Macaca mulatta: one gene and its partner. The protein of the gene in region 1 interacts with the protein of each later gene in a biochemical or structural test. Links are inferred from orthologs where the notes say so. Each region holds a gene or a part of one and is shown in the gene's direction. Other genes may lie near its edges.

The links.
Region 2: of the proteins of KLHL12 (region 1) and DRD4, one has a biochemical effect on the other in vitro, tested with the Homo sapiens proteins (2 studies listed by BioGRID, with this or other methods). The link is inferred for Macaca mulatta from reciprocal best matches to the Homo sapiens genes KLHL12 and DRD4.

The regions. Positions count from the first base shown.
Region 1 is NC_133406.1:60,558,822-60,574,336, reverse strand, and holds part of KLHL12 (kelch-like protein 12), read left to right. Parts: intron 1-12,647; coding exon 12,648-12,754; intron 12,755-13,977; coding exon 13,978-14,173; intron 14,174-14,945; coding exon 14,946-15,104; intron 15,105-15,415; coding exon 15,416-15,514; intron 15,515-15,515. UniProt on the Homo sapiens protein: Substrate-specific adapter of a BCR (BTB-CUL3-RBX1) E3 ubiquitin ligase complex that acts as a negative regulator of Wnt signaling pathway and ER-Golgi transport.
Region 2 is NC_133419.1:528,140-544,355, forward strand, and holds DRD4 (D(4) dopamine receptor), read left to right. Parts: upstream 1-5,734; 5' UTR 5,735-5,739; coding exon 5,740-6,372; intron 6,373-8,597; coding exon 8,598-8,710; intron 8,711-8,818; coding exon 8,819-9,516; intron 9,517-9,611; coding exon 9,612-9,814; 3' UTR 9,815-9,935; downstream 9,936-16,216. Other genes in the region: DEAF1 (deformed epidermal autoregulatory factor 1 homolog), read right to left, coding at 14,161-14,265. UniProt on the Homo sapiens protein: Dopamine receptor responsible for neuronal signaling in the mesolimbic system of the brain, an area of the brain that regulates emotion and complex behavior.

The DNA.
Region 1 (15,515 bases):
CTTCCCCTTGTGTGGTTTTTCCATTCCGGAATGAAGAGAGGAAGAAAAGGAGCCCAGTATGGTAGAAAGTACATGGGTTTTGGCAGTGACTGTCAGTGTAGGTACCAGTTTACCTCGTACTAGGTATATTAACTTGGGCAGGAACCTTAACCTCTGTGTGCTTCAGTTGCCTCATCTGGAATCATCATAGCACCTGCCTGTAACATTGTTATGAAAAGTAAATAAAGTTATTTATGTAAAGCCTTAATACAGTTCTTGGCACATAATAACTATGTGTATTAGCTATTATCTTAGCAAATAGATCTACGTTCACATCCAAGCCCCAGCAGTGACTGGTTGGGCAAGATATCAGTTTATCTGAGCCTATGCATCTACCACTAAGATGAGAGTTAGTGTCTTATCTCAATGAGCTGTTGGGAGGATTAAATGAGATAATGTATATAAGATACCTAACACTATAGCTGGCACACACTAAGTACTCAGATATTTACCATACTTTACATTTCCTATTCTCTCTGCTTCACTGTACCAAGAGCCTAGGTGTATAATGTATAAAAGCATTTTATAAGTTATGAATTACTCTATATGTATGGGGTGGTATTTTGTTTTATTGTTTCCTTTTATCTGACTGAGGACTCATCATGCATGCTAAGGTGTTGATAATTAAGCAGCTCACTGATGGATTTAGGTAGAATGGTGATTTATCCCCTATATTTTATTTTTTCTAATAGAAATGGGGTCTCACTATGTTGCCCAGGGTGGAGTGCAGTGGCATGATCTCGGTTCACTGCAGCCTTAGCCTCCTGGACTCAAGCAGTCTTCATACCTTAGCCTCCCAAGTAGCTGGGACCACAGGCACCGGCCACTATGCCTGGCTAATTTTTGTATTCTTTTGTAGAGACAGAGCCTTCCTTTGTTGCCCAGGCTGGGTCTTGAACTCCTGGACTCAAACAGTTCACCTGCTTTGGCCTCCCAAAGTGCTGGGATTACAGTTGTCCCATATATATATATATATATATATATATATATATATATATATATATATATATTTTTTTTTTTTTTTTTTTTTTTGAGACAGTCTTGCTCTGCCACCCAGGCTGGAGTGCAGTGGAGCAATCTTGGCTCACTACAACCTCTCCCAGGTTCAAGCAATTCTTGTGCCTCAGCCTCCCGAGTAGGTGGGACAACAGGCAACTGCCACCATCCCCAGCTAATTTTTGTATTTTTAGTAGAGACAGGGTTTCTCCATGTTGACCAGATTGGTCTCAAACTCCTGGCTGCAATTGATCCACCCACCTCGGCCTCCCAAAGTGCTGGGATTACAGGCATGAGCCACCATGCATGGCTAGCTCCCCTATATTTTTTAATGGCATAAGTACTGTATGTTCAATGTAGAACTTTAGAAATACAGAGAACCAAAAAATAAATAAAAATCATCTATAATCTTACCACTCAAAGATACTGTATTTTAAAAAGAGAACTTTTAGAAAGGGCATTGTTGATGGTATTTTCTATTACTGCAAGATGACAAAATGTGATCTGTGTTTCATATGCTTCGTACAAAGATACATATCAACACAAGATAGACTGAAGGACTGAATGTTGAAAAACTATGAAAATATTAGAAGAAATTATAGGAAAATATTTGTATACCTTCTGGATGGAAGTCTTTTTTTCTTTTTTGTAAAATATATGTAACAGACCAGGCACTGTGTCTCAGCACTTTGGGAGGCCAAGGTGGGCAGATCACTTGAGGTCAGTAGTTTGAGACCAGCCTGGCCAACATGGCAAAACCCCATCTGTACTAAAAATACAAAAATTGGCAGAGTATGGTGGCACACACCTGTAATCCCAGCTACTTCGGAGGCTGAGGCAGGAGACTCACTTGAACCTGGGAGGCGGAGGTTGCAGTGAGCCAAGATTGTGCCATTGCACTCCATCTCAAAATAAATAAATTAAATATATTTAGCGTAAAATTTAGCATCTTAACCATTTTTACATGTACAGTTGAATCATGTTAAATACACTTACGTTGTTATACAATCAATCTCTCTTTTCATCTTAACGAGACTGAAACTCTGTACCCATTAAACAATAACTCCCAATTCTCCCTTTCCTCCCAGGGTAGGAACTTTTTTTTTTTTTTTTTTGAGATGGCGTTTTGCTCTTGTTACCCAGGCTGGAGTGCAGTGGCATAATCTTTGCTCACTGCAACCTCTGCCTCCTAGGTTCAAGTGATTCTCCTGCCTCAGCCTCCCAAGTAGCTGGAATTACAGGTGTGTGCCACCATGCTTGGCTAATTTTTTGTATTTTTTTGTATTTTTTTTTTTTTTGAGATGGAGTCTCACTGTGTCACCCAGGCTGGAGTGCAGTGGCACGATCTCGGCTCACTGCAAGCTCCGCCTCCTGGGTTCACGCCATTCTCCTGCCTCAGCCTCTCGAGTAGCTGGGACTACAGGTGCCCGCCACAGCACCCGTCTAATTTTTTGTGTTTTTAGTAGAGACAGGGTTTCACCCTGTTAGCCAGGATGGTGTCAATCTCCTGACCTCGTGATCCGCCCACCTCGGCCTCCCAAAGTGCTGGATGGGATTACAGGCGTGAGCCACCGCGCCCGGCCTACTTTTGTTTTTTAAAAAATAATTATTATTTTTAAAAATCAGATTGGGTGGCCGGGTGCGGTGGCTCACGCCTGTAATCCCAGCACTTTGGGAGGCCGAGGCGGGTGGATCACGAGATCAGGAGATCGAGACCATCCTGCTTAACACAGTGAAACCCCGTCTCTACTAAAAATGCAAAAAAAAAAAAAAAATTAGCCGGGCGTGGTGGTGGGCTCCTGTAGTCCAAGCTACTCAGGAGGCTAAGACAGGAGAATGGCCTGAACCCAGGAGACAGAGCCTGCAGTGAACCAAGATCACGCCACTGCACTCCTGCCTGAGCGACAGAGCAAGACTCTGTCTCAAAAAAAAAAAAAAAAAAAAAAAAAAAAAAATTTGGGTTGAGTAACCCTAATCTGAAATTCAGAATGCTCCAAAATCTAAAACTTTTGAGTGCCAACGTAATGCTCAAAGGAAATGCTCAATGAAGCGTTTTGAATTTGGGGTTTCTGAATTAGGGATGTGCAAATAGTTATGCAAATAAATAATGCAGATATTACAAAAATCCAAAAATGTCTGAAATCTGAAGCACTTCTTGTCCTAAGCATTTCAGATAAGGGTTACTCAACCTATACCATGAGAGCCAGTGACGTAGTGGAAAGAACCTGGCACTAGGAGATAAGACATTTTGCTTACTTTTATTTTTACTCCCGTGTCCGTCACTCACTCTGGTAACTTGCTGTTGGACAAGTCCTTTAACTTCTCTGGGTTTCCAGTTCTTTATATCAAGAGAGTTAACGTTCAATCACTAAGGTACTTTCCAACATAGAAAAATGTTTCCTTTTTGCATGATAGTACTCATTATTTGCTTATTAAATTGAACTAAAAGCTAATGAAAATTTTTGTGAATCAGTAAACCCAGAAGATTCTTTGAAGGTACATTTCCTGCGTATCTCTGAACAGGCAGCAAAAGGGGCTTCTGCTTGGTTAGAGAACTTGCTTATTCCCCCGACGTTAAAGGATTAGACTGTGAATCTACTATCTTCATAGTCTTGAGGTTATTTTTCAGAAGTTCTAGAAGGGAAATGCTGAAGCAGTTTCCAATTAGATGCTTAGTATCGCTTTGTTATTGCCTTAGAAAGTAGATTGTTCTTACCATCATGTCCTCTACCGATTTCTATCATATTGGCTGCTAAACCAGCTACCAGGATAATGACTCTTCTGCATACAGCAGAAGGAAATTAAATTGACAGCCAAGTTAAAATAGTCTGCCTGGCCGGGCGCGGTGGCTCACGCCTGTAATCCCAGCACTTTGGGAGGCCAAGACGGGCGGATCACGAGGTCAGGAGATCGAGACCATCCTGGCTAACACGGTGAAACCCCGTCTCTACTAAAAAATACAAAAAACTAGCCGGGCGAGGTGGCGGGCGCCTATAGTCCCAGCTACTCGGGAGGCTGAGGCAGGAGAATGGCGTGAACCCGGGAGGCGGAGCTTGCAGTGAGCTGAGATCCGGCCACCGCACTCCAGCCTGGGTGACAGAGCGAGACTCCGTCTCAAAAAAAAAAAAAAAAAATAGTCTGCCAAATAAGGGATTTTTAGTTATTAACCTTACCCATTACTGTCTCAAAGAAGATATAATGGAAATTGCTTTTCTAATTTGTGGCTGTCTCCTTTTTTGAACTAAAGATCAATGCAAATGGAAATGTGAGTCTCTGAACCCTGTTATTTAGCAGTCCTGCATCTGCCCTGTTCCTCTAACAGCGTATCACAGCACCTATTCCTCTAAAACGTATCACGGCATACACACACTCCCCTTCCCCTCCTAAAAATAATGACCATGCCACTGCCAGGTTCTTCAGTTTTAGAAATGTGCTTTTTCACACTGTTCTTGTCAGATGTCCTAGACAAGGTTTTCTCATTAAAAAGATAAAAATCTCACTTAACAAGTACTCCATCATTGGCAGAGAACAAACAGGCTTCTTTCTGGATTGACTCTTTCATTAACTTTTTTTTACACGAGTCAGATTGTTTAAGTATTGGTCTCCAACTTAGGGTTAAAACATTAAAACCTTAGGAGTTCTTCTGGAGGAGAAAGACTTTCTAGGCACAAAATAGTGGAAGAAATGACAAAGAATAAAAACATATTTGAATAAAAAAAATATACAAAATTATGACAAATTAGGAACATAGGTTTGGAACAACCTTTAAAGGGTTAAAGGGTTGGCCAGCGGAGTGGCTCACGCCTGTAATCCCAGCACTTTGGGAGGCTGAGGCAGGCAGATCACCAGAGGTCAGGAGTTTGAGACCAGCCTTACCAAATGGAGAAATCCCGTCTCTACTAAAACTACAGAATTAGCTGGGCGTAGTGGCACATGCCTGTAATCCCAGCTACTCAGGAGAATCGCTAGAACCTGGGAGGTGGAGATTGCAGTGAACCAAGATCGCGCCATTGCACTCCAGCCTAGGCAACAAGAGCAAAACTCTTATCTCATAAATAGATAGATAAGGCCGGGGGCGGAGACGGGCGGATCACGAGGTCAGGAGATCGAGACCATCCTGGCTAACATGGTGAAACCCTGTCTCTACTAAAAAATACAAAAAACTAGCCGGGCGAGGTGGCGGGCGCCTGTAGTCCCAGCTACTCGGGAGGCTGAGGCAGGAGAATGGCGTAAACCCGGGAGGCGGAGCTTGCAGTGAGCTGAGATCTGGCCAATGCACCCCAGCCTGGGCGACAAAGCGAGACTCTGTCTCAACAACAACAACAACAACAAAAAAAAAATAGATAAATAAGTAAAGCGTTAAAGGGTTAAAACCATTTGTGTGTAAAGAATGCATGAGACAGGGCCAAGAGCAGTGGCTCATACCTGTAATCCCAGCACTTTGAGAGGCTGAGGTGGGCGATGGAGCCCAGGAATTCAAGACCAGCCTGGCCAACTGGGTGAAACTCTGTCTCTACTAAAAATATAAAAATTAGCCGGGCATGGTAACACACGCCTGTAATCCTAGCTATTGGGGAGGTTGAGGCAGGAGAATCATTTTAGCCCAGGAGACAGAGGTTGCAGTGAGCCGAGATCACACCACTGCACTCCATCCTGGGCCACAGAGTAAGACTCTGTCTCAAAAAAAAGAAAAGAAAAGAGGGGCCGGGCGCGGTGGCTCACGCCTGTAATCCCAGCACTTTGGGAGGCCGAGGCGGGCGGATCACAAGGTCAGGAGATCGAGACCACGGTGAAACCCCGTCTCTACTAAAAATACAAAAAATTAGCCGGGCGCGGTTGTGGGCGCCTGTAGTCCCAGCTACTCGGGAGGCTGAGGCAGGAGAATGGCGTGAACCCGGGAGGCGGAGCTTGCAGTGAGCCGAGATCGCGCCACTGCACTCCAGCCTGGGCGACAGAGCGAGACTCCGTCTCAAAAAAAAAAAAAAAAAAAAAAGAAAAGAAAAAAATTAGTGGTCCCAGCTACTAGGGAAGCTGAAGTGGGAGGCTGGGAGGATGCTTGAGCCAGGAGGTCAAGGCTGAGGCTGCAGTGAGCCATGATTACACCAGTGCACTCCAGCCTGGGCAACAGAGCAAGACCTTGTATCTAAAAAGAAAATAAACAAGAATGCATGAGAGAAACAATATAGATTTGAGTGCACAGTTTGCAGAAGGGCAAGTAAAGCTGGCTATTGATATAAGGGAGGGAGTGCAACCTAATTAATAATAGGGTCTTAGTAATAAAGAATTAAACATACAATTTTTTGCCTACCAGAGTGTCAGAGATTTAAAATCTATCCAGTGCCTCAGAAAATAGAATGAGTTGGCACCTTTATAGTGTTGGTGGGGGTATAATTGGTAACAATTTCAAAAAGACACCTTATATATAAAAATTTTTTTTTTCTTTTTTTTTTGAGACAGGGTCTCACTCTGCCTCCTAGGCTAGCGTGCAGTGGCATGATCTTGGCTCACTGAGACTCCACTTCCTGGGCTCAAGCAATCCTCCCACCTCAGCCTCCTCAGTAGCTAGGACTACAGGCGTGTGCCACCATGGTCGTCTATTTTGTTTGTTTGTTTGTTTTGATACAAGGTCTCACTCTGTCGCTATAGTGCAGTGGCATGATCTTGGCTCACTGCAGCATCCACTTCCTGGGCTCAAGTGATCCTCCCACCTCAGCCTCCCAGGTAGCTGGGACTTGGGACTACAGGTGTGCACCACCAGACCTGGCTAATTTTTTTTATTTTTAGTAGAGACAGGTTTTACCATGCTGCTCAGGCTAGTCTTGATCTCCTGGGCTTGTGCAATCCGCCTGCTTTGGCCTCCCAAAGTGCTAGGGTTACAGGTGTAAGCCACCATGCCTGGCTCAAAAACTTTTTTTCTAATTCATGTTCATTACTCAGCATTCTTCCCATTTCTTTAAGAAAACAACTAGGAAAAGTTTCACGTTCAGGATATTTATCACAGGGTTATTTATGTGATTGTTTATAACCCAAAATTATGAACCCCGAAATGCCTAAGAATATTATAACCATGTACTAAAAGACTTATTCATATATTTGCAAAATGAAAAACATCAGCATATAATATAATATGGTCACATTTGTGGGGTTTTTTGTTTGTTTATTTTTGGATTTTTTTTGTTTTTGTTTTTGTTTTTTGATGGAGTCTTGTTCTGTCACCCAGGCTGGAGTGCAATGGTGCAATCTTGGCTCACTGCAATCTCTGTTTCCCGAGTTCAAGCAATTCTCCTGCCTCAACCTCCCGAGTAGCTGGGATTACAGGCACGTGCCACCACGTCCGGCTAATTTTTGTATTTTCACCAGAGATGGGGTTTCACCACGTTGGCCAGGCTGGTCTTAAACTCCTGGCTTCGTGATCCACCTGCCTCAGCCTCCCAAAGTGCTGGGATTACAGGTGCGAGCCACTGTGCCAGGCCCCCATTTGTGTTTTATAAATGTGTAGAAACAAGGCTGGAAGGAAATTATGTTATATTTTGGTGTGTCTTTGTATTGTGGAACTGTGGGTAATTTTTTTCATAATACTTGTCTGTATTTTCCAAGTTTTTTAGCAGTAAAAATGTATATTATATGTTTTATAATCACAAGGAAAAAACTTTTCAAGTCTTTTTAACGGGGAGGGGTAATATGTGAGTGGGGATGGTGATTATACTAGTCCTTGAGTTATTTTTAAATATTCTAAAAGAAAATCATTTTTGTGCGAGAAAAAGCTGAACAGGCAAAATAAAGACTTCAGATTTAGCTAACATTGTATCCATTCAGTGTGAAACACTGTTGCTCTCATAGTTATCAGAAGCTCTGTTGGCAGTTGCTGGGGAAGTTAATTACTTAAACTCACTTTGGTAGACAGTCTGTCAAAACACAGGATCTGTCAGGGGAAAACAATGAAGAGAGTCCTTCACAGCAAAGAAGTTTGAGAATCAGTGATCGAAGGATCCCAGCCATTTAGAGCCATAAAACCTATGTCTGTAATCCCAGCACTTTGGGAGGCCAAAGCAGGAGCATGGCTTGAGCTTCAGGAGTTAAGAGAGCAGCCTGAGCAACATAGTGAGACCTCCTCTCTGTAAAAAATTAAAAAAAAAAAATACCTGGGTTTGGTAGCACACACTGTGCTCCCAGCTACTCGGGAGGCTGAGGTAGGAGGATTGCTTGAGCCTGGAAGGTCGATGCTGTGGTGAGCTGAGATTGTGCCACTACACTCCAGCCTAGGTGACAGAGGAAGTCCCTGTCTTTTAAACAAAACAAAACAAACTCCTTTGCAAATCACACCAACACCTCTTACCAAGTTCCACCGTAGACATATAGTTACCAGAATGTTTATTGGGAAAATTTCAGCCAACAAGAAGTACTGTCCGTTCTCTGGGTTTTTATTATAATCTATTTCCTTTCTACTTATTTTCTCCCACCCTTCAAAAGGTACCTGAATGAAATATCAAGAAAGAGAGGGGTTTTTATTTTATTTTATTTTATTTTTGAGACATTCTTGCTTTGTCACCCAGGCTGGAGTGCAGTGGCGTGATCTCAGCTCACTGCAACCTCCACCTCCTAGGTTCAAGCGATTCTCCTTCCTCAGCCTCCAGAGTAGCTGGGACTACAAACACACACCACCACACCTGGCTAATTTTTGTATTGTATTTGTATTTAGTTTTTTTAGACAGAGTCTTGCTGTGTTACCCAGGCTGGGGTACAGTGGTGCAATCTCTGCTCACTGCAACCTGCATCTCCCAGGTTCAAGTGATTCTTGTGCCTCACCCTCCCGAGTAGCTGGGACTACAGGTGTGTGCCACCACACCTGGCTAATTTTTATATTTTTCATAGAGACGGGGTTTCACCATGTTGGCCAGGCTGGCCTCGAACTCCTGACCTCAAGTGATCCATCCGCCTCGGCCTCCCAAAATGCTGTGATTGCAGGCATGAGCCACTGCTCCCAGCCTTCTTTATTTTATGTTACTTTATTTTTTGAGACAAGTTCTCACTCTGTTCCCCAGGCTAAAGTGCAGTGGAACAACCTTGCTCACTGCAGCCTTAACCTCCTGGGCTTAAGTGATCCTCCCATGTCAGGCTCAGGAGGAGCGGAACTACAGGCATTTGCCACCACACCTGGCTATTTTTTTTAGATATAGGAGTCTTACCATGTTACCCAAAGTGTCCTTGAACCCCTGGGCACAAGAAATCTGCCCACGTTGGCCTCCCGAAGTGCTAGGATTATAGTCATGAGCCACTGTATCTGACCTCTTCATACATATATATATATATATATATATATATTTTTTTTTTTTTTTTGGTTGGCAGGGTGGGGCAGGGAGTCATATAAAGCAACAGAAATAAGAGCTGAAAAATCAGGAGAAAACTTTAAAATTTGCATAGCACAGGAAATACCTCTTGGTTGGTGTGGGAATTTTTATTCATACATATATCATCTGCTGGCATCATACTCATCTACATGGGAAATGTGTCTGGATAAAAGGATCACGCTTACCTTGTCTATTCCAGTCAGGAAGAGAAGAGGTGGAATAAGAAAAAGGAATATGTAGGGGAATAGTGTTCCCAAAGAAAAAACAAATAACTTGTGATCCTGGCTTCTCCCAATTTGAAGTACTCTTAGGCAGACATAAGTGAGTTCAGTCACTAAAGAACCCTTCATTCATATGCTTTGAATTTTTTTTTTTTTTTTTTTTTTTTTGAGATGGAGTCTTGCTCTATTGCCTAGTCTGGAGTGCAGTGGCGCGATCTCGGCTTACTGCAACCTCTGCCTCCTGGGTTCAAGTGATTCTCCTGCCTCAGCCTCCCAAGCAGCTAAGATTACAGGTGCGCACACCGCACCCGGCTAATTTTTGTATTTTTAGTAGAGACGGGGTTTCGCCATGTTAGCCAGGCTGGTCTTGAACTCCTGACCTCAGATGATCTACCTGCTTCAGCCTCCCAAAGTGCTGAGACTATAGGCGTGAGCCACCGCGCCTGGCCATGCTTTCATTTTCGAAGGAGCTGACTCCTGAGACCTACTTGCTGGCTTACTTTGGAGAGGGTCCACTTTATTTGGCAAGTACATAAGACAAGTGTCCTCTTAGAAAAACTCCACGGTTTATGTGTGGGTGTATATGTTTTATTAAGAAAAATCTCAAACATAAAAACAGTGATACAATGATCCCCCATACCCATCACTCAATTTTAACAATTATCAACACATAGCTTTTTTTTTTTTTGAGATGGAGTTTCGCCTTGTGGCCCAGGCTGGAGTGTAGTGGCGCCATCTCAGCTCACTACAAGCTTCACTTCCCGAGTTCAAGCATTCTTGTACCTGAGCCACCCGAGTAGTTGAGATTTCAGGTGTGCACCACCACACTCAGATAATTTTTGTATTTTTAGTAGAGACGGGGTTTTGCCTTGTTGGCTAGGCTGGTCTCGAACTCCGTACCTCAAGTGATCTGGCAGCCTTGGCCTCCCAAAGTGTTGGGATTACAGGCGTGAGCCACTGTGCCCAGGCTATTTTGAAGCAAATTCCAGACTGGATATAATTCCATCACTATGTGTCATACTTCCACGTGTGTCTCTAAAAAGGATAAAATTTTTGACACATCTAGAATGCCATTATCACTGTTTAAAATCACACAGTTCCTTATTGTCATAAGTACGTGTTTGTGTAACTTTTTTTCCATAATTTTTTGTTGTTTGTTTTTGAGTACTTACGTTGTTCAAATCAGGAGCCAGACAAAGTCCACACGTTGCTAGTGATTTCATGTCTCTTTTCAGTCTCTTTTTAATACAAAGTGTTTCCATCCTGTTTTGGTTTTTACTAATCAATTTATTTCTTGAAGAAAACAAGCTATTCGACCTGTAGAATTTCCCACATTCTGGACTCTGCTGTTGGCATCTTTATAGTGTCATTTAACATGTTCTTCTCCTATGTATTGCCTGTAAACTAGTGGTTGGACTAGAGGGTTGTTAAGAGTCAGCCTCAATTTTTTAGAAAAAAGACTCATTAGATGGTAGTGTGGTCCTTCCTATTCATCACCATTAGGAAGCACACAATGTCTCATAGTAATATGTTAGCTTTTGAAATAATGATTCTAGCCCAGCAATTGATGATAATTGTCAAATCCATTACTTCATTAGGGGTTTATCTGTGTTTCCTGTCAGCTTCAAGGTACTACATTTGCTCTTTCAAGTCCAGGTTACTTGTAAGATCACTTTGGTCTCCTAGATGCTTCCTAGTGATTGAATTTTCCAAAGCTCCAGCTAACTGTTCTCTCCATGAGTTCTAATGGAGCACATGCACAGGGGATTTTCTCAAAGAGACTTTGCTCTTTGAAAAAAGCCAAGCCAGGTGCTGTGGCTCATACCTGTAACCCCAGCTACTTGGTAGGCCAAGGCAGAAATATCGCTTGAGGCCAGGAGTTTGAGACCAGCCTGGGCAATATAGCAAGACCCTGTCTCCAAGAGCCAGGGTAGGAAGTATTTTATCAGAGTAAGGCCTTAGGGGAAGGGGAAGATATAAAGGCTGTCAGAATAGCTTCTTTGGGAAAATAGAGAAAAAGACTTTTCCTTTAAAACTCTAGTCTTTTGTTGCCTTGTGGTTTTGATGAATTGGCAGGGAATATGATCATATAGTTGACTACATTGGAGAAGGAAATGTTCATGAAAAAGAGATTTTAGGCCAGGCACAGTGGCTCATTCCTGTAATCCCAGCACTTTGGGAGGCTGAGGCAGGAGAATCACTTCAGGCTAGGAGTTTGAGATCAGCCTGGGCAATATAGCGAGACCCTTTCTCAATTCAGAAAAAGAGACTTTAAATCCATCACTTGGATCCTAAGTTTCAACATGCAGCTTTTTTTTGTGACAAGGTTAGGAGAGTTCTTTCCCTATTACAACAAAAAAACCCTCCCAATTTGGGTTTTTTCAGGCTGAGAAGTGCAGAGAGTGCCTTTAGCCTCTCACCTGCACTTAAGACCTCAAGTATTATGTCAGCCAGTCATCTCAATAGGTTGAAATGGTGCAGTGTTGCCGGGCACGGTGGCTCACGCCTGTAATCCCAGCACTTTGGGAGGTTGAGGCTGGCAGATCACCTGAGGTCGGGAGTTCAGGACCAGCCTGACCAACGTGGAGAAACCCCATCTCTGCTAAAAATACAAAATTAGCCAGGCATGGTGGCATATGCCTGTAATCCCAGCTACTTGGGAGGCTGAGGCAGGAGAATCACTTGAGCCCAGGAGGTGGAGGTTGTGGTGAGCCGAGATTGTGCCATTGCACTCCAGCTTGGGCAACAAGAGTGAAACTCTGTCTCCAGAAAAAAAAAGAAATGGTGCAGTGTCATGTTGAAGTTTGCTTTCTAGAGTTTTAATGTTGTCCAGAAATTTAAGTTTCAGAGACTTGAGAGCTACAGCCTCAAGGAGAAATAACTCCCCATTCGACAGCCTTATGATTATCTCCCATTTCAGATTGCATCCCTCAGTCACATAAAACAAGACATCCTAGAACTGTTTCTGTTGACACTTCCCTGTGACTAGTTACCCATCCAGGGATGCTGAACTAACCCATCTTTTTTCTGCCTTTGTCTTCAGGAGCCAATGAAGTGCTTTTGGTGGTTGGGGGCTTCGGAAGCCAGCAGTCTCCCATCGACGTGGTAGAGAAATACGACCCCAAGACTCAGGAGTGGAGCTTTTTGCCAGTAAATAATGGTGAAACCATTCGTTGGGAGGGAGCTTAAATGTCCTCAGTCTCTGGGTCCAGATCATAGCTAATCCAGCCTTAGGAGTAGAAAAGCCATTCGTTGGGAGGGAGCTTAAATGTCCTTAGTCTCTGGCTCCAGATCGTAGCTAATCCAGCCTTAAGAGTAGAAAAGCCTAATAACAGGATCATGTTTCTTACAGCAGTCTTGTGCACATAGTAGGTACTCACTAAACAGTTTTTGACTGTTTAGATTAGAAGATTATGCCTTAGTAATGTCAGTGGCCCTGTGTCAAGGTAAACTCAGATGGCCACCACTAGTTAGGTGCCTTGCCAAGCTGTCTGTATAATTCCCAGCACATTTCATTGGTCATGCTGTGTTAAACTGAACTGAATGTTAAATTGTGTGTAATTGAACCTAGTGTTCAGTTGAGCTAAGTTTGGGCTGGGCGTGGTAGCTCACACCTGTAATCCCAGCCCTTTGGGAAGCTGAGATGGGAGGATCCCTTGAGGCCAGGAGTTCAAGACCAGCCTGGGCAATATGGTGAGACTCTGTCTCTACAAAAAAGTAAACAAAAAAATTAGCCAGGCATGGTGGTGCATGCCTGTAGTCCTTAGCTATTTGGGAGGCTGTGGCAGAGGATTGCTTGAGCCCAGGAGTTCGAGGTTGCAGTGAGCTGTGATTGTGCCACTGCACTCCAGCCTGGGTGACAGTGAGATCCCAACTCAGGAAAAAAAAAAAAAAAAGTTTGTATCTGTCTTCCTCAGCATGTCTCTTTCAGTGCTGAATGAACAATAGTACTTTCTAAGAAAACATGGAAATCCAACCCTCCTACCTTTTAAGGTTCTTGTAATAAATCCTGGCCCTTTGATTAGCAGTGTGGGAATACTTTTCCACTTTATGGAAGGATATCAGTCTCTTAGCCCAGTGCCTTATGGAAAAGAAAGGAGTCAGATACTGGATAACAGAAGGCTGTTAAATCTTTTGGAAGCCTTGGAAAGAGGCAGATGTGCAGAAAGCTTGTATCTTTAAGAGCACCACAAGCATTTCGTTCAGTAGATAGCTATTTGGGAGCCACTTGAGGATGAACCACTCAGGGAGGGTTCATGATAACAGGTGAAGAAGCATAGAGGTGTGCAGATGCAACAGGGAAGATAGCAAAAGGTAAGGCCTAAAACTTGCCTAACTGAAATGCTCTGTACCTCTTCTCTCCAAATCCATAGAGCATCACTCGTAAGAGACGTTATGTGGCCTCAGTGTCCCTACATGACCGGATCTACGTCATTGGTGGCTATGATGGCCGTTCCCGCCTTAGTTCAGTGGAATGTCTAGACTACACAGCAGATGAGGATGGGGTCTGGTATTCTGTGGCCCCTATGAATGTCCGACGAGGTCTTGCTGGAGCCACCACCCTGGGAGGTAGGCTGGATGTGTAGGGCAATTATTTCCATCTTACTGTGGCTGGACCAGGGTTTTTAACCTCTCCTATTGTCTGGCAGGAGCATGAAATATGGAGAAAAAATTAAGGTCAAATGTTACTATTATTTGAGATAGGGTCTCTCTTTGTTGCCCAGGCTGGAGTGCAGTGGCACGATCACGGCTCACTGCAGCCTCAACCTCCCCAAGCTCAAGCGATCCTCCCACCTCAGCTTCCTGAGTAGCTGGGACTATAGGCATGCACCACCATGCCCAGCTATTTTTTTGTATGTTTAGTAGAGACAGGGTTTCGCCATGTTGCCCAGGCTGATGTCTTACTCCTGAGCTCAAGTGATTCACCCGCCTCGGCCTCCCAAGGTGCTGGGATTACAGGTGTGAGCCACTGTGCCCAGCTGACAAATATTCCTTTTTGCTTTCAGAAATATCAGTGTAATAGAAGCTGTTCGATATTCATGGATGTTTCAGTACTGACTACAAAATTGGCAAATCAAGTTCCAACGTGCTAGGTGGGGAACTGGCACTAGTTGTATTTTTGCAAACTCCCAGGTGGTCTTTGAATGCTTTTAAGGATTTTATTTTACCCCATTCTTTTTGGATGTCTTCCTTGTCTATAAAACTTAATTGACTTATCTCATTAAAAAATACTTTGTTTTTGCTCCCAGACTTTTAAAGAATCCTTGGAAAATTTGTAGAGGAAAGAGTTCTTAGAAATCTGTCATTCTCTAATAGTCTGTAATTTGTTTATTCTGAGCAGATATGATCTATGTCTCTGGGGGCTTTGACGGAAGCAGGCGTCACACCAGTATGGAGCGGTATGATCCAAACATTGACCAGTGGAGCATGCTGGGAGATATGCAGACAGCTCGGGAAGGTGCCGGACTCGTAGTGGCCAGCGGAGTGATCTACTGTCTAGGTATCGAGTCTGGGATGCAGGAATGGGAGAGAACTCAATGGGTAGTGGACTGTGAGTAAGGATTCCTTTTTACTAGGATGAAGTTCATAGACTTCCCTTCAACTAAAACCCTGGTGTGTGTTAATATATTTTCCATTAATTGGGATTATCTTTTTCTTATAAGCAGAAAGTAGGGTACTGTCAGATTTCTCTTATGGAACTCTTGGGGGAAAATTGAAACTAAAATAGTTAGTTGAAGCACTCAGAGAAAGACCGACCAGAAATGGGCATGAGGATTTACCACTCTTTCTGGAATGATCTCTGTCTTCCAGGAGGATATGACGGCTTGAATATCTTAAATTCCGTTGAGAAATATGACCCTCATACAGGACATTGGACTAATGTTACACCAATGGCCACCAAGCGTTCTGG
Region 2 (16,216 bases), on another chromosome or scaffold:
ACTGCAACCTTTGCCTCCCCGGTTCAAGTGATTCTCCCACCTCCGCCTCCCAAGTAGCTGGGATTATGGGCACCCACCAGCACACCCGGCTGATTTTTGTATTTGTGGTAGAGATGGGGTTTTACCATGTTGGCCAGACTGTTCTTGAACTCCTGAACTCAAGGGATCTGCCTGCCTTGGCATCCCAAAGTGCTGGGATTACAGGCATGAGCCACTGCACCGGCCATTTGTGTATCTTCTTTTTTTTTTTTTTTTTTTTTGAGACGGAGTCTCGCTCTGTCGCCCAGGCTGGAGTGCAGTGGCGCGACCTCTCGGCTCACTGCAAGCTCCGCCTCCCGGGTTCACGCCGTTCTCCTGCCGCAGCCTCCCGAGTAGCTGGGACTACAGGTGCCCGCCACCTCGCCCGGCTAATTTTTTTTTGTATTTTTTTAAGTAGAGACGGGGTTTCACCGTGTTAGCCAGGATGGTCTCGATCTCCTGACCTCGTGATCCACCCGTCTCGGCCTCCCAAAGTGCTGGGATTACAGGCTTGAGCCACCGCGCCCGGCCTGTGTATCTTCTTTGAAGAAATGTCTGTTCAAGTCCTTTACCCATGTTCATTATTTATTTTATTTTGGGGCAGCCTGGAGTACATTGGCTCAATCACAGCTCTCTGTGGCCTCAACCGCCTGGACTCAAATGACCCTCCCACCTCAGACTCCCAAGTAGCTGTAATTATAGGCTCATGCCACCACACCCAGCTAATGTTTGTATATTTAGTAGAGACGGGGTTTCTTTCTTTCTTTCTTTTTTTTTGAGACGGAGTCTTGCTCTGTCACCTAGTGGCGCAATTGATTTTGGCTCACTGCAAGGTCCACCTCCCGGGTTCACACCATTCTCCTGCCTCAGCCTCCTGAGCAGCTGGGACTACAGGTGCCCACCACCACGCCCGGCTAATTTTTTCTATTTTTAGTAGAGATGGGGTTTCATTGTGTTAGCCAGGATGGTCTCGATCTCCTGACCTCGTGATCCGCCCGCTTCAGCCTCCCAAAGTGCTGGGATTACAGGTGTGAGCCACCGAGCCTGGCCTGTTTTTTGAGGATCTTCTATACGTAAGACCATGTCATGTGCAATAGTTTTCTTTTCCAATTTTGGATACCTTTAATTTCTTTTTTTTTTTTTTTTTTTTGAGACGGAGTCTCGCTCTGTTGCCCGGGCTGGAGTGCAGTAGCCGGATCTCAGCTCACTGCAAGCTCCGCCTCCCGGGTTTACGCCATTCTCCTGCCTCAGCCTCCCGAGTAGCTGGGACTACAGGCGCCCGCCAACTTACCCGGCTAGTTTTTTGTATTTTTTTAGTAGAGACAGGGTTTCACCGTGTTAGCCAGGATGGTCTCGATCTCCTGACCTCGTGATCCACCCGTCTCGGCCTCCCAAAGTGCTGGGATTACAGGCTTGAGCCACTGCGCCCGGCCTAATTTCTTTTTCTTGATTAATGCTCTGGCTAGAACATCCAGAACAATGTTGAACAGAAGCAGCAGCAGTGGGTATCCTCGTCTCTTTAAAAGGCTTTTAGTTTCTCACCAATGAGTATGATGTTAGCTGTGTTTGTTTTTTGTTTGTTTGTTTTTTGACACAGTCTCCCTCTGTTGTTCGGGGGGAGTGCAGTGGTGCGATCTCGTCTCACTGCAGCCTCCACCTCCTGGATTCACGTAATTCTCGTGTCTCAGTCTCCTGAGAAGCTGGCGTGCGCCACCATGCCCAGCTAATTTTAATTTTTGTATTTTTAGTGGAGGTGGGGTTTCAACATGTTGGGCAGTCTGGTCTTGAACTCCTGACCTCAAGTGATCCACCCTCCTTGGCCTTCCAAAGTGCTGGGATTACAGGCTGAGTCACCGTGCCTGGCCTGATGAAGTTGTTTCTGCTCCTAGTTTATTGAGTCTTATTATCATGAAAGGATTTTGAATTTTATGAAATTTTTTTTCTGCATCAATTGAGATGATTGCGTGGGTTTTTCTTAATTCTGTTAATCTGGTGTATGACATTGAATTTCGTCTGTTCACTCACCCTTGCATTCCTGGGATAAATCCCACTGGGTTATGGTACATAATCCTTTAAAAAATGCTGCTTTTCAGCCGGGCGCGATGGCTCATGCCTGTAATCCCAGCACTTTGGGAGGCCGAGGTGGGCGGATCATGAGGTCAGGAGTTTGAGACCAGCCTGGCCAACATGATGAAACCCTGTCTCTACTAAAAATACAAAAATTAGCTGGGTGTGGTGGTGCACACCTCTAATCCCAGTTACTTGGGAGGCTGAGGCAGGAGAATTGCTTGAACCCGGAAGGCGAAGGTTGTGGTGGGCTGAGATTGTACCACTGCACTCCAGCCTGGGTGACAGAGCGAGACTCCGTCTCAAAAAAAAAAAAAAAAAAAAATGCTGCTTCTCTGACGGGCAGCACTTTAAAAGGGATTGTGTTTGCTCATATTTTGCCAAGAACGTTTGCATCTATATTCATAAAGGATACTCATCTGGAATTTTCTTTTTGTGATGTCATTAATGTTGAGTTTTGAGAATTATTAATATTTTTTGTATGCAAGCTATTTGCTGGATATATGATTTGCTAATTTTTAAAATTTTTGTTTCTATTTTTTTATATTTATTTATTGAGACAGAGTCTTGCTCTGTTGCCCAGGCCAGAGTGCAATGACGTGATCTCTGCTCACCGCAACCTCTGCCTCCTGGGTTCAAGCAACTCTCCTTCCTCAGCCTGCCAAGCAGCTGGGATTACAGGCACGCACCACCACACCCAGCTAATTTTTTGTATTTTTAGTACAGATGGGGTTTCACCATATTGGCCAAGCTGGTCTTTTTTTTTTTTTTTTTTTTTTTTTTTTTTTTTTTGAGACGGAGTCTCGCTCTGTCACCCAGGCTGGAGTGCAGTGGCTGGATCTCGGCTCACTGCAAGCTCCGCCTCCCGGGTTCACGCCATTCTCCTGCCTCAGCCTCCCAAGTAGCTGGGACTATAGGCGCCCGCCACCTCGCCCGGCTAGTTTTTTGTATTTTTTAGTAGAGACGGGGTTTCACCGTGTTAGCCAGGATGGTCTCGATCTCCTGACCTCGTGATCCGCCCGCCTCGGCCTCCCAAAGTGCTGGGATTACAGGCGTGAGCCACTGCGCCCGGCCAGCCAAGCTGGTCTTGAACTCCTGACCTCAGGTGATCCACCCGGCTCGGCCTCCCAAAGTGCTGGGATTACAGGAGTGAGCCACTGCGCCTGGCGTAGACAACCCAATTTTTAACAAAAGCAAAGATTTTTAACAGGCACGTTCCAGAAGAGGGCACACTGACAGTTAACAGGCACATGCGAAGTGGTCAAACGTGAGTAGCCATCAGGAAAATCAACGACGTCCTACTACACTAAAATGGAAAAAAAAACATTGCCGGACGTGGCCATTTGCAAATATCATTTCCCAGTCTGTGTCTTTTGATTCTCTTGACAGCATATTTGAGTTAATTTTTTAATGTGTAAGGTATGAGTGGAGGTCCTTATTAAAAATTGTTTAGGCTGGGTGTGTGACTCATGCCTGTAATCGTAGCACTTTGGGAGGCTGAGGTGGGAGGATCATTTGAGCCCAGGAGTTTGAGATCAGCTGGGCTAACATGGCGAGACCCCGTCTCTACAAAAAATGAGAAAATTAGCTGGGTGTGGCACTACGCATCTGTGGTCTCCGGCTGGAGCCGGAGGATCACTTGAGCCCAGGAGATTGAGGCTGCAGTGAGCCATGATTGCAGTGAGATGCGATCACATCCAGTTACATTTGATTTTCAGATAAACAACGGAAGTATATAGTATAGGCTGGGGGCAGTGGCTCATTCCTGTAATCCCAGCACGTTAGGAAGCCAAGGCAGGTGGATCACCTGAGGTCAGGAGTTCGAGACCAGCCTGGCCAACATGATGAAACCCCGTCTCTACTAAAAATACAAAAAAGTTAGCCAGGTGTGGCGGCAGGCACCTGTAATCCCAGCTACTTGGGAGGCTGAGACAGGAGAATTGCTTGAACCTGGGAGACAGAGGTCACAGTGAGCCAAGATTGTGCCACTGCATTCCAGCCTGGGCAACAAGAGTGAGAAACTCTATGTCAAAAAAAAAAAAAAGAAAAAAAGGCCGGGCGCCGTGGCTCAAGCCTGTAATCCCAGCACTTTGGGAGGCCGAGACGGGCGGATCACGAGGTCAGGAGATCGAAACCATCCTGGCTAACACGGTGAAACCCCGTCTCTACTAAAAAATACAAAAAACTAGCCGGGCGAGGTGGCGGGCGCCTGTAGTCCCAGCTACTCGGGAGGCTGAGGCCAGAGAATGGCGTGAACCCAGGAGGCGGAGCTTGCAGTGAGCTGAGATCCGGCCACTGCACTCCAGCCTGGGCGACAGAGCGAGACTCCGTCTCAAAAAAAAAAAAAAAGAAAAAAACTGGAATTGTCTGTCTTTTCTCATTGTTTTAAAAGCACTCTTTATATATTCTGGATCTGCATTCTGTACCAGAGATGTGTACTGCAAACATCCTTTCTCCGCCTGGCTTTGTTTTCACTCTTGGTGGTCGCAGACATCTTGGGGGCCACTTGAAGGAATTCTAAGCTGACCAGAGGCTGGGCTGGACTCACCGTTGGGCACCCAGCCGGAGACCCCAGGGCCACCCTCCCGGGTTCCATCCTAGAAGAGAAGACACTTGCACTGTCCCAGCCTCTTCTGTGGTGACTTCTTTTGCACAAGGGTTCACGGGCAGGAGTCTGGTCTGCACAAGAGGGACTTAGCCTGGCTGCGGCTGCACCTGATGTCTGTGGACACCTGACCCTGGTGCAGGCCTTTCCCCTACAGACCCCAGGACCTTGCCTTGTGATGCTCACGGTGCCTGCTCCTTCTCAGAGCCCTCGTTTCTCCCTTTAATGCACACCCCATCAGCACCTCGTCCAGCCCGTGTCCTCCATACGTTTGAGGTCAGGGGCCTCAATTCCTGGCACGGCCCCTCCACTCCAGTCCTCCCAGAAACAAAGACAAGAGCAAGATGTGCATCGCCCAGGGTCCCACAGAGTGGTGCCTCCTTTTAGTGCCTTCTAGGCCCCTTTAGTGACAGGACTACAGAAAATACCCCTCAGGTCATGGGTCACCCCGATTTGATGAAGAGTCCATAGAATTGTCTCTGCTGCACTTTGCAAGCACTTTCTCTTCTGCACGTTTGGAACCTGCCAGGGCCTGTCTTGTCTTTCTCATTGCCTCCTCGCGGGCTGAACCTACTGTCCGGTCCCCGGACCCCCTGCCCAGGGTCAGAGGGACGCCTACCTAGCTCAGGGTCTTGGGCCGGAGGGACTGGAGGAGGGAGCAGGGTCGACCGCTCAGCTGTCCGCCCGGGGGTGGAGGGTCGGGGGGAGGTGCCGGCCCACTATCGGAGGCGGCCACGGGAGGACCAACTGTGCAATGGGTGGGGCCGCGGCTGACTGTGGTGGTCGCGGGGGCTGAGGACCAGAGGCTGCTGGGGAGCGGGGGTACGAGCCAGGCGTCGGCGGTTGGGTCGGGCGCGGAGTCGCGGGCAGGAGGGTGCGCGCGAGGTCGAGGCGAGTCCCCCGGGAGGCGGGCAGAGCCTAAGCTCCGGTCTTCCCGCGACTGGCGGAACGGGCCTGGGAGGGACGTTTTCCCAGACACCAGGTGCACTAGGTGGACGGCCCGAGGGCCGGGACGCACGCAGGGGCCGGGCAGGATGGCTCTGGCGTCGATGCCCGCGCGCTTCAGGGCTTGGTCTGGCTGCCCCTCCATCCTTGTTGGTTTCTCGGGGTGCGGACCCCGCGCCGCACCAGGCGATGCTGGGCCTGCCCATGGCCACCACCTCGCTTCATTCCCGTCTCTTTGGGCCGCCGCATTCGTCCGCCTGCCCGTCTCTCCCTGCGCAAAATTCCAAGATGAGCAAATACTGGGCGCACGGTGGAGCGCCGCGGGGGCCCCCCTGAGCCGGGGCGGGGCGGGGGCGGGACCAGAGTCTGGCCGGGGCGTGCCCAAGGGGAGTGACTCCCCGGTTTGCGGCCCGGCGCTGTCCGCGGTGCTCAGCGCCCGCCCGGGCGCCTGGGGCCGGCGCGCCATGGGGAACCGCAGCACCGCGGACCCGGACGGGCTGCTGGCCGGACGCGGGCCGGGCGCGGGGGCGGCTGCGGGGCTGGCAGGGCCGGGCGCGGCGGCGCTGGTTGGAGGCGTGCTGCTCATCGGCGCGGTGCTCGCGGGGAACTCGCTCGTGTGCGTGAGCGTGGCCACCGAGCGCGCCCTGCAGACGCCCACCAACTCCTTCATCGTGAGCCTGGCGGCCGCCGACCTCCTCCTCGCTCTCCTGGTGCTGCCGCTCTTCGTCTACTCCGAGGTGAGCCCCGTCTGGCCGCACGAGCATCTTCATCTGCTCCTCGGTTCTCCGTCCCTGTCCCTGCGGAGGACCCGGCGCGACCCGGCCCCTTTCTGCTCCGGAGCCTCCAGCTGGGGCGGCGGCAGGGGCGCTGCGCCTGGTCCCTCCGCGCTACACCCACCGCCGCCACCTCGCGACCTTCCCCCCGCTGCGCTGTCCCCCGACCCCCGTTCCTCTCCTCCCTTCCCCTTCTGTCTTGGCGTCTGCTATCCAGGAGATGCCCGTCCTTCGATCTAGGGACCCCAGAAATAGGCGACTTTGTGAAGCCAGCCCCCTCCCGCCGCCCGGCAGCTGGATTTCACCCCCAGGGCAACCAGCTGGACAGGCAGGCAGATGCGGACTCGGCCCCCTGGCTGCCCTGGGACACACACACACGCACTGCACACACGCACTGCACACGGCCACAGCCACAGACCACCACGCACACCCAGTGCGGATGCTGGCTCACCCCCAGGAGGCTCACAGCTCACAGGGGAGACCTGGGCTGGACAGAACCCAGGGGAGGGTGTGTGGGGGCCAGGCCCCTGCTGAGAACCCTGGGGAGAAGCCCGAGGGGGAATTGGGGGATGGATCCCACACTCCACACCAGATCTGGCCCTCGGATGGGTTGGACTTGGTGCCAGCCCCTCTGCAGCCAGAGAAAAGCAGCTTAAGGCTGAGCTGGGGACGCGGTGTCCCGGACTGTGGAGGAGGGGGGACTCGGGGTTTCCCCTTGGTAGACACGGTGAGTCCTGGCGGCTGGGGCAGAGACCAGCAGCACGGGACACGCATGACCTGTGCTCCTTTCGAGCCGCAGACGTCACAGTGACGACGTTTAAGCTCCTAATCTTCCCAAATCGGCGGGAAGGGATTAAGGGGGCTGCCTGCTCCTTTGCCCTTGAAGAGAGTCACTCCACGTGGACTCCTACGCTGGGCACTGGGCAGGTCTTCATATTTTTAATTATAATTTATCTTCAAGACAATTATGTGGATACTATCATCATCCTCGTCTTACAGATGAGGAAACAAATGAATTAATGCGCCCGAGTCTCCCACAGAGAGCTTCACCAGACAGGCTGGCTCATGCCCTGAAGGACAGAGCAGCCAGCTTCATGTCTAGGCCCAGCGGGGACCCTGCCTACCCCAGGCTGGGGAGGGGCTCTCCTTGAGCCCGATGACATCAGGCCCCGCCCCCAGGGAATTCCCCAGGCCCGTTCTCATGTTTGTAACAAAAGGGAGACCAAGGTCAGGAGTGGTGGCTCACACCTGTAATCCCAGAACTTTGGGAGGCCAAGGCAGGAGGATCGCTTGAACCCAGGAGTTTGAGACCAGCCTGGGAAACATACCGGGCCGGGTCTCTACAAAAAATTAAAATATCGGCCGGGCGCGGTGGCTCACGCCTGTAATCCCAGCACTTTGGGAGGCCGAGGAGGGCGGACCACGAGGTCAGGAGATCGAGACCATCCTGGTTGACACAGCGAAACCCCGTCTCTACTAAAAATGCAAAAAATTAGCCGGGTGTGGCGGCGGGCGCCTGTAGTCCCAGCTACTTGGGAGGCTGAGGCAGGAGAATGGCGGGAACCCAGGAGGCGAAGCTTGCAGTGAGCCGAGATCGTCCCAGGGCACTCCAGCCTGCGCCACTGAGCGAGACTCCCTCTCAGAAAAAAAAAAAAAAAAAAAATGAAAATATCAGCCTGGGATGGTGGCATGCGGCTGCTGTCCCAGCTATTCGGGGGAACTGAGGCAGGAGTATCGCTTAAACCCGGGAGGCGGAGGTTGCAGTGAGCTGAGATCGCATCACTGCACTCCAGCCTGGGCAACAAGAGTGCAACTCCGTCTCAAAAAAACAAACAAAAAGAAAAACAAAAATAAAAAATAAATAAATCAGTTGGGGGGTGGTGGCGCGCGGCTGTAGTCCCAGCTACTCTGGAGACTGAGGTGGGAGGATCGCTTGAGCCCAGGAGTTCCAGGCTACGGTGAGCCATGATGGAGCCACCGCACTCCAGCCTGGGTGACAGAGCGAGACCCTAACTGAAAACAAAGGGAGACCTGAGTGCAGAGGGGTTGTTTCTCTGCCTGCTCCTCTGGCCTCTGGTTCACAGCGGGCCCCCTCCTCCATATTCAGCCCTGGAACTACCCATAAGAGAGGGGGTCACAAGGGCCCGCGGTGGCTGGGAAACCTCAGGGCCTGTGGTGTCGCCGCGCAGGTCCAGGGTGGCGCGTGGCTGCTGAGCCCCCGCCTGTGCGACGCCCTCATGGCCATGGACGTCATGCTGTGCACCGCCTCTATCTTCAACCTGTGCGCCATCAGCGTGGACAGGTGCGCCGCCCTCCCCGCCCGCGCCCCCGCGCCCTCGCGCCCCTCCCGCCGCCGCCGCCCTCACCGCGGCCTCCGCGCTGTCCCGCGCACCCTCGGCGCTCCCCGCAGGTTCGTGGCCGTGGCCGTGCCGCTGCGCTACAACCGCCAGGGCGGGAGCCACCGGCAGCTGCTGCTCATCGGCGCCACGTGGCTGCTGTCCGCAGCGGTGGCGGCGCCCGTGCTGTGCGGCCTCAACGACGTGCGCGGCCGTGACCCCGCCGTGTGCCGCCTGGAGGACCGCGACTACGTGGTCTACTCGTCCGTGTGCTCCTTCTTCCTACCCTGTCCGCTCATGCTGCTGCTCTACTGGGCCACGTTCCGCGGCCTGCGGCGCTGGGAGGTGGCCCGTCGCGCCAAGCTGCACGGCCGCGCGCCCCGCCGACCCAGCGGCCCCGGCCCTCCTTCCCTTGTGCCCCGCCTTCCCCAGGACCCCTGCGGCCCTGACTGTGCGCCCCCGGCGCCCCGCCTCCCCCAGGACCCCTGCGGCCCCGACTGCGCGCCCCCCGCGCCCGGCCCTCCCCAGGGTCCCTGCGGCCCCGACCGTGCGCCCCCAGCGCCCGGCCTTCCCCAGGGTCTCCGCGGCCCCAACTGTGCGCCCCCCGTGCCCGGCCTCCCCCCGGACTCCTGCGACTCCAACTGTGCGCCCCCAGACGCCGTCCGAGCCGCTGCGCTCCCACCCCAGACCCCACCGCAGACCCGCAGGAGGCGGCGTGCCAAGATCACCGGCCGGGAGCGCAAGGCCATGAGGGTCCTGCCTGTGGTAGTCGGTGCGTTCCTGCCCTGGGGGGCTGGGTAGAGAGGAGGGGAGGAGTACGAGGCGCGGAGGGGCAGGGGGCGCTGACGTGGCTCTCGGCGCCCCCAGGGGCCTTCCTGCTGTGCTGGACGCCCTTCTTCGTGGTGCACATCACACAGGCGCTGTGTCCTGCCTGCTCCGTGCCCCCGCGGCTGGTTAGTGCGGTCACCTGGCTGGGCTACGTCAACAGCGCCCTCAACCCCGTCATCTACACTGTCTTCAACGCCGAGTTCCGCAATGTCTTCCGCAAGGCCCTGCGTGCCTGCTGCTGAGCCGGACCCCCACCCCCACCCCCCGCGGCCTGGGCACCGGCCTGGTGGCCAGGCCTCCGGGACCAAGGATATGGGGAGGGCGGTTTTGTACGTTAATTAAACAAATTCCTTCCCAAACTCAGCTGTGAAGGCTCCTGGGGTTGATGGGGAAGGGAGGAGGAAGGGCTTCTGCCCCAGTGGCCCCAGGCCGCCCAGCCAGTTAACCCCTTCCTTCCCGCCAAGGAAGCCCACAGAGCAGACCCCACCAAGCCGGCCCCCTGCTCAGAGTGAGCGGGGGAAGGGGCCCCTGGAGACCCACTCAGTTCGGCAGTGCTCTGGCCCAGCCTACCCTCTCTGCAGGGGAGAGGAAATGGCACCGAGCAGAGCAAGGTGTCTCCTGGGGAAGCCCAGTTCCAATGGGAAGAAATGAATGAGGCGAGAGGGGCTGGGGGGGCGGTCAGCCGCCAGGCCCTGCCCAGGCCAACTCCCGCCTCCGAGGACGAAGCACAGGGTCTCCTGGCTCTGCTGTCCCAGCAGACCCAGGCGGGGGAGCCTGATATATCATTTTAGAAGCTGCCTTGAGGTCAGAGCACAGCTTCCTGCCAGTCCCTGGCCAGAGGATGCCCCAAGCCCCACAGGAAGGGGCCTGTGGTGATAGGTGGGGTCCCACCAAGAGGCTTCCCTGGAGGGAGCTCCATGCTCAGTCACCCAGCCAGCCTCTGCCCAGCATCCACCCATGTGGCTGGGCCAAGGGGTAGGAGTAGGGAGGAGGCAGCAGGGTCAGAGGGTGGGCAGAGCGACCCAGGCTGCCTGTCTGCCCTGGGCTGCCTGGCTTTGTCAACCATAGTACAGCCCCTGACCCTGGGGGAGGAGGGGTGGCTCCCAGGGCCCTCAGTGCAGTTAACAGCCCACCCTGGACTGGATCCAGCTCTCTCCCAGGCCCAGGCTGTGGGAGAAATGGGAGGCCCTCCGCCTCCCAGTCCTGCTGGCTGGAGCTTTACTGTGCTGGGGATGCAGCATCTACAGCCAGGGCGGCCAGTCATGGTGCCAAGCTCCCATCTGAACACTGAGAGACTGGGCTGTGCAGTCTACAGCAGTGGGTACAACCTCAGCTAAAATACTCAGTGCAGGCTGGGTGTGGTGTCACACCTGTAATCCCAGCTACTCGGGAGGCTGAGACAGGAGGATCCCTTAAAGCTAGGGGGTCAAGGCTGCAGTAAGCTGAGATCACACCACTGCACTCCAGCCTGGGTGACAGGGTGAGACCTTGTCTCAAAAAAGAAAAGAAGAAATACTGGGTGGAGAGACGACCAAGCCCAATTACGTCAGTGCAGCTGCCCCGTCCCGTCTGCTGACCACGTACTTCTGTCACAGCTTCAGCGGCTGCCTCCTCCTGGACACCTTCCCCGACTACCTACTTCCCAGGACCAGCCTGTCCCAGCCAGCCCCTGGAACAGACTGAGTCACAATGGATTCTTGTCGGACACCCATGAGAGTAAAGGAGGGGCTCCCGTCAGCCTTGTCCCAGGACCCACGGCCCCACACATGCCTCACTGACAGTGCTGGAGGCCACGGGAGGTGCACACGCATCTGGGGGTCCTGGGGGTGCTGACAGCCCTGGGGCGGGGCGACCTCTGGCCATCAGCCTCCCAGGCTTGGAAAGGAGGAGCTGTGGGAACCTGGGATCCCAAGAGATGTGTGGTGCTCCGGCTTCCATTTTACGGAAAATCGGGGAAGAGTAAGTTGCCCCCACAATTCCAGGGAACACCCCCACTCCACTCCTGCAGAGCCTGGTTGCAGGCGGCCAGGTGCATCACTGCTGGTGGGGTCACGGTGCCAAGGGGCTCCCACGGTGCCTTCCCCACCAGGCGGGGGTTTGGCCACTTCTGCGGCTGTGCTCTCTGCACAGAGACGCTGGTGTTTCCAGCTTTGGGGGATTCTTCTTAGAGGTGCAGGTCCTCACTTCCCTGCCACCTTTATGTTGGTTAAGACCCAAAGGAGGCCGGGCGCGGTGGCTCAAGCCTGTAATCCCAGCACTTTGGGAGGCCGAGACGGGCGGATCACGAGGTCAGGAGATCGAGACCATCCTGGCTGACACAGTGAAACCCCGTCTCTACTAAAAAATACAAAAAAACTAACCGGGCGCGGTTCTGGGCACCTGTAGTCCCAGCTACTCGGGAGGCTGAGGCAGGAGAATGGCGTGAACCCGGGAGGCGGAGCTTGCAGTGAGCCAAGATCACGCCACTGCACTCCAGCCTGGGCAGCAGAGCGAGACTCTGTCTCAAAAAAAAAAAAAAAAAAAAAAGACCCAAAGGAGCAGGCCCAGCCCTGCTGCCTCATGGAGGTCAACCCACGGCCCACCTGCCTGGACAGTGCCGAGGCCAAGCAGAGCCTCTAAGATGCCTCCACCTTGTGGCAATGGCGGACCCTGCTGGGTTGGACGAAAAGCCACTCAGTGTAGAGTCTCAGAGGAAGGGACAGGCGGGGCGAGGGTCAGAGGAAGGGCCAGGCGGGGCGAGGGTCAGAGGAAGGGCCAGGCGGGGCGAGGGTCAGACCAAGGGAAAGGTGAGGTGAGGGACAGGAGGGAGAGCATCTCGGTGGGAGAGGCAGGAGGGACAGGCAGGGTGAGGGTCAGAGGAAGGAACAGGTGGGGTGAGGGACAGGCGGGGTGAGGGCAGCATCTGGAGTGGGTGCTGCAGCAGGCCAGACACCTTTTCCAGCCTCCACTGCTCACTGGCAGCACCAACGGGGCAGCACCGAGTGCGTCTAAGCAGGACGATGAAACATCAGTGGGGCTTGGCCCGGCTGGGTGGAGACTTTACTAAGTAAATAGGCCAGGGCAGTGGCTCACGCCTGTAATCCCAGCACTTTGGGAGGTCGAGGTGGGTGGATCACCTGAGGACAGGAGTTCGAGACCAGCCTGGCCAACACGAAGAAACCCTGTCTCTACCAAAAATTCCTAAACTAGCTGGGTATGGTGGTGAGCACCTATAATCCCAGCTACTCAGGTGGCTGAGGCAGGAGAATCGCTTGAACCTGGGAGGCAGAGGTTGCAGTGAGCCAAGATTGTGCCACTGCACTCCAGCCTGGGTGACAGGGTGAAACTGTCTCAAAGAAAAAAAAAAATAGAAAACCAGAATAAATCAGGTGGTCCTGAGAAACCCAGAGACTCAAATATGGTGGGGGGTTCTCTGCAGGGCCCACAGAGCCAGTGAGCCCTGCCCCCATGCACAACCTCTTCCAGGGGAACTCTGGCCGCCTCTCGTAGAGCTCCAGCTGGTGCAGAAAGCGCTTAGAGGCAAACATCAGAATCGTTGGTGCAGGTTCCTCCTGGCGCTGCCAGCCCACCCCAGGTGCCTGCTGAGCTTTTGCTGAGTCTGTACTTTCTTGCCCCAGTGCAGCCACAGCCGTGGAGCCTTCAGTGTGCAGAGAACACAGGCCATGAGCGCAGAAGCTTCCAGAACAAGAGTGACGCTGCTCCAGCAGAGCTCTCAGTCAGGAGGGCAGGTGGGTCCCATGTCCAGGCCCAGCCCAGTGCCCAAACACACTGGACATGCCCCCTTGTGTCCCATGCAGGCCTCAGTCCTTTCTCTTTCCTCCACCTGGCACCAGGGCCATGAGAAACAAGCGGGAGACCAGGAGGCCATGAGGCTCTGCATGTGGATCCCTGGACCAAGGCCACCGAGCCGTCCACATGGACTGAACAGGCTGCACTGGGCCATCGGGCTTGCTCAGGAAGCCTGGGCACAGGAGGGTACCGGGTGCACAGAAACCTGGCGGGAAGGGCCGCAGGCCTGCTGCACTTGCCAGCAGCCACGAGGTTCTCGTGGAACAGAAGGAATGAAGACCTCCTGGACTACAGGTGCCACCAGATGCCAGGGCTTCAGTCTGGCCGTGCTGCCCCGTGCACCGGAGGCTCCGGCCTGGCCGCGCTGCCCTGTGGACTGGAGATGCGGTGGGCTTGGGATTCCCACCTGCACAAGGAGAAGGAAGGGGAGGAAACCCCCCTGAGGGCTGGCACTGAAACCGGCCGCCCGCGTGGGGCAGGGAGACCTTATTTACACTTTATTGACAGACACAACACGTATGTACATGCGTCGCAGCACAGGCCCTGTGGGCAAGACCGGACGCTCATGATCCCAGGGATAAAAAATCTCTCCGCGAGCGGGCGGGGGGCCCGGGCGGGGGGAGTCCGCTCCCCAGGGCACCATTCGCTTAAAGTGTGTTAATAACTTGTCCAGCAAGTTTCTTTACCTTCCCACACCCCTCTTCTCAACGTCCCCCCAGAGTCCTCAGGGGGGCCTTCGACCTGCAAAAGCCTCACAGGAGTGCGAGGGGCCCCAGCTCCCAGGGCGGCCGATGGAGCCTCACACGGTCACCTTCTCCATCACGCTTTCAGCCACGTGGACTTCGTCGGCCTGGACCGTGACAGCTGCTGACTGGCCGCATATGTGCTGGTGATCCTTCCAGTCCTGGAAGGGAGGACACACCCATGTCCGCGGGGTCAGTGGGTGCAGCAGGGCCTTGGAGCAGGGTCCCCAAGGTGGACCCCAGGCCCCTCACCCCAGAGGGTGCAGCCCCCTGTGAGCCCACCTGGGGGTACTGAGAGAATGCCCTCCCCAGTGCGCCCACACTCTGGTGGCCTCTGCTCCAATACAGCCTTCTCCACACTCTCTTGGTTTGAGGAACTGGATCAAAAGGCAAACAACAGGTGGGGCGTGGTGGCTCACGCCTGTAATCCCAGCACTTTGGGAGGCCCAGGCAGGTGGATCCCCTGAGGTCAGGAGTTCAAGACCAGCCTGGCCAACATGGTAAAACCCCGTATCCACTAAAAACACAAAAAGTAGCTGGGCATGGTGGCAGGCACCTCTAATCCCAGTTACTCAGGAGGCTGAGGCAGGAGAACTGCTTGAACCTGGGAGGGAGAGGGTGCAGTGAGCCAAGATGGTGCCACTGCACTCCAGCCCATGGGAGAGAACAACTCCATATCAAAATAAAAGTCAAACAACAAACCAGGGTAAGACTCTCCAAAGCAGTTGTTTTGTGTTAGGGATGTAAACAAAAAATATCAGACATGCAGAAAAACATTTAAATACATGATCAAGTTCTGTGGGGTTTTTTTTGTTGTTTTTGGGACAGAGTTTTGCTCTTGTTGCCCAGGCTGGAGTGCAATGCAAAATCTCGGCTCACTACAACCTCCACCTCCAGGGTTCAAGCAATTCTCTTGCCTCAGCCTCCCTAGTAGCTGGGATTACAGGTGCCCGCCACCACACCTGGCTAATGTTTTACATTTTTAGTAGAGATAGGGGTTCACCATGTTGGTCAGGCTGGTCTCGAACTCCTGACCTCAGGGGATCTGCCCACCTCAGCCTCCCAAAGTGCTGGGATTATAGGCGTGAGCCACTGTGCCCGGCCCCAGTTCTGTTTTTAATGGCAAAGATGAAAAAGCAAACTGGAACCAGCCTGTGGCTGCAGAGGGGCTCTGCAGAGAGAAGGAGGGGGATGGTGCTTGGGAGAAGTCACAGCTCCGGTGAGGTCAGCACACGGAACCAGGCCCCACCTCCTGCTACCTCAAGCACCTCGGAACACAGCAGAGGTCTAGAGGAAGCGCCAGGTGCTGAAGCTGAGGCGGCCTCGTCAGACAGAGGCAGCTCCCTGCACGGGGGCGTGACAGGTACACACACAACACACAGAGCAGAAATAAACGCGTCCAAATGGTGACCGGGTTATTCCCTAGAGGGCAGAATTCCAGCTGATTATAATAAAAAAGCAAAATTAGGCGCAGTGGCTCAGGGCTGTAATCCCATCATGTTGAGAGGCCGAGGTGGGCAGATCACCTGAGGCCAGGAGATGAAGAGATCACCTGAGGCCAGCCTGCTCAACATGTCAAAACCCCATCTCTACTAAAAATACAAAAACTAGCCGCCTGTGGTCGCGCACGCCTGCAATCCCAGCTACCTGGGAGGCTGAGGCACGAGAATCACTTGAATCTGGGAGGTGGAGGTTGCAGTGAGCTGAGATTGTGCCTCTGCACTCCAGCCCAGGCAACAGAGAGAGACTATGTCTCATAAAAAAAAAAAAAAAAAAAAAAAAAAAAAAAAAAAAAAAAAAAAAAAAAATTTCCTGGTAACAGACTATAAATCTACATGGCATGAAAACACACATCAGCAAACCGCCGCATCGGGTGCAGACCCACCGCCCGCCCCTCCCCGGCCTCCACTCCGGGGCAACCAGGACGGGTTCCGGTTCCTGCCCAGACTCTGTGTGGGGCGAGGGGCCTGCACCCCTCATGGGAGCTGCCCCCACTGAGAGGATGTGGGCCCTGGATAAGGCCCCCAGGAGTTCTAGATGCTTTTTCTCTGGTCTACAGGTTTGAGCCACTCCCTGGGGCCTGTGCAGATGGAGGGAGAGGGGGCGCACGTC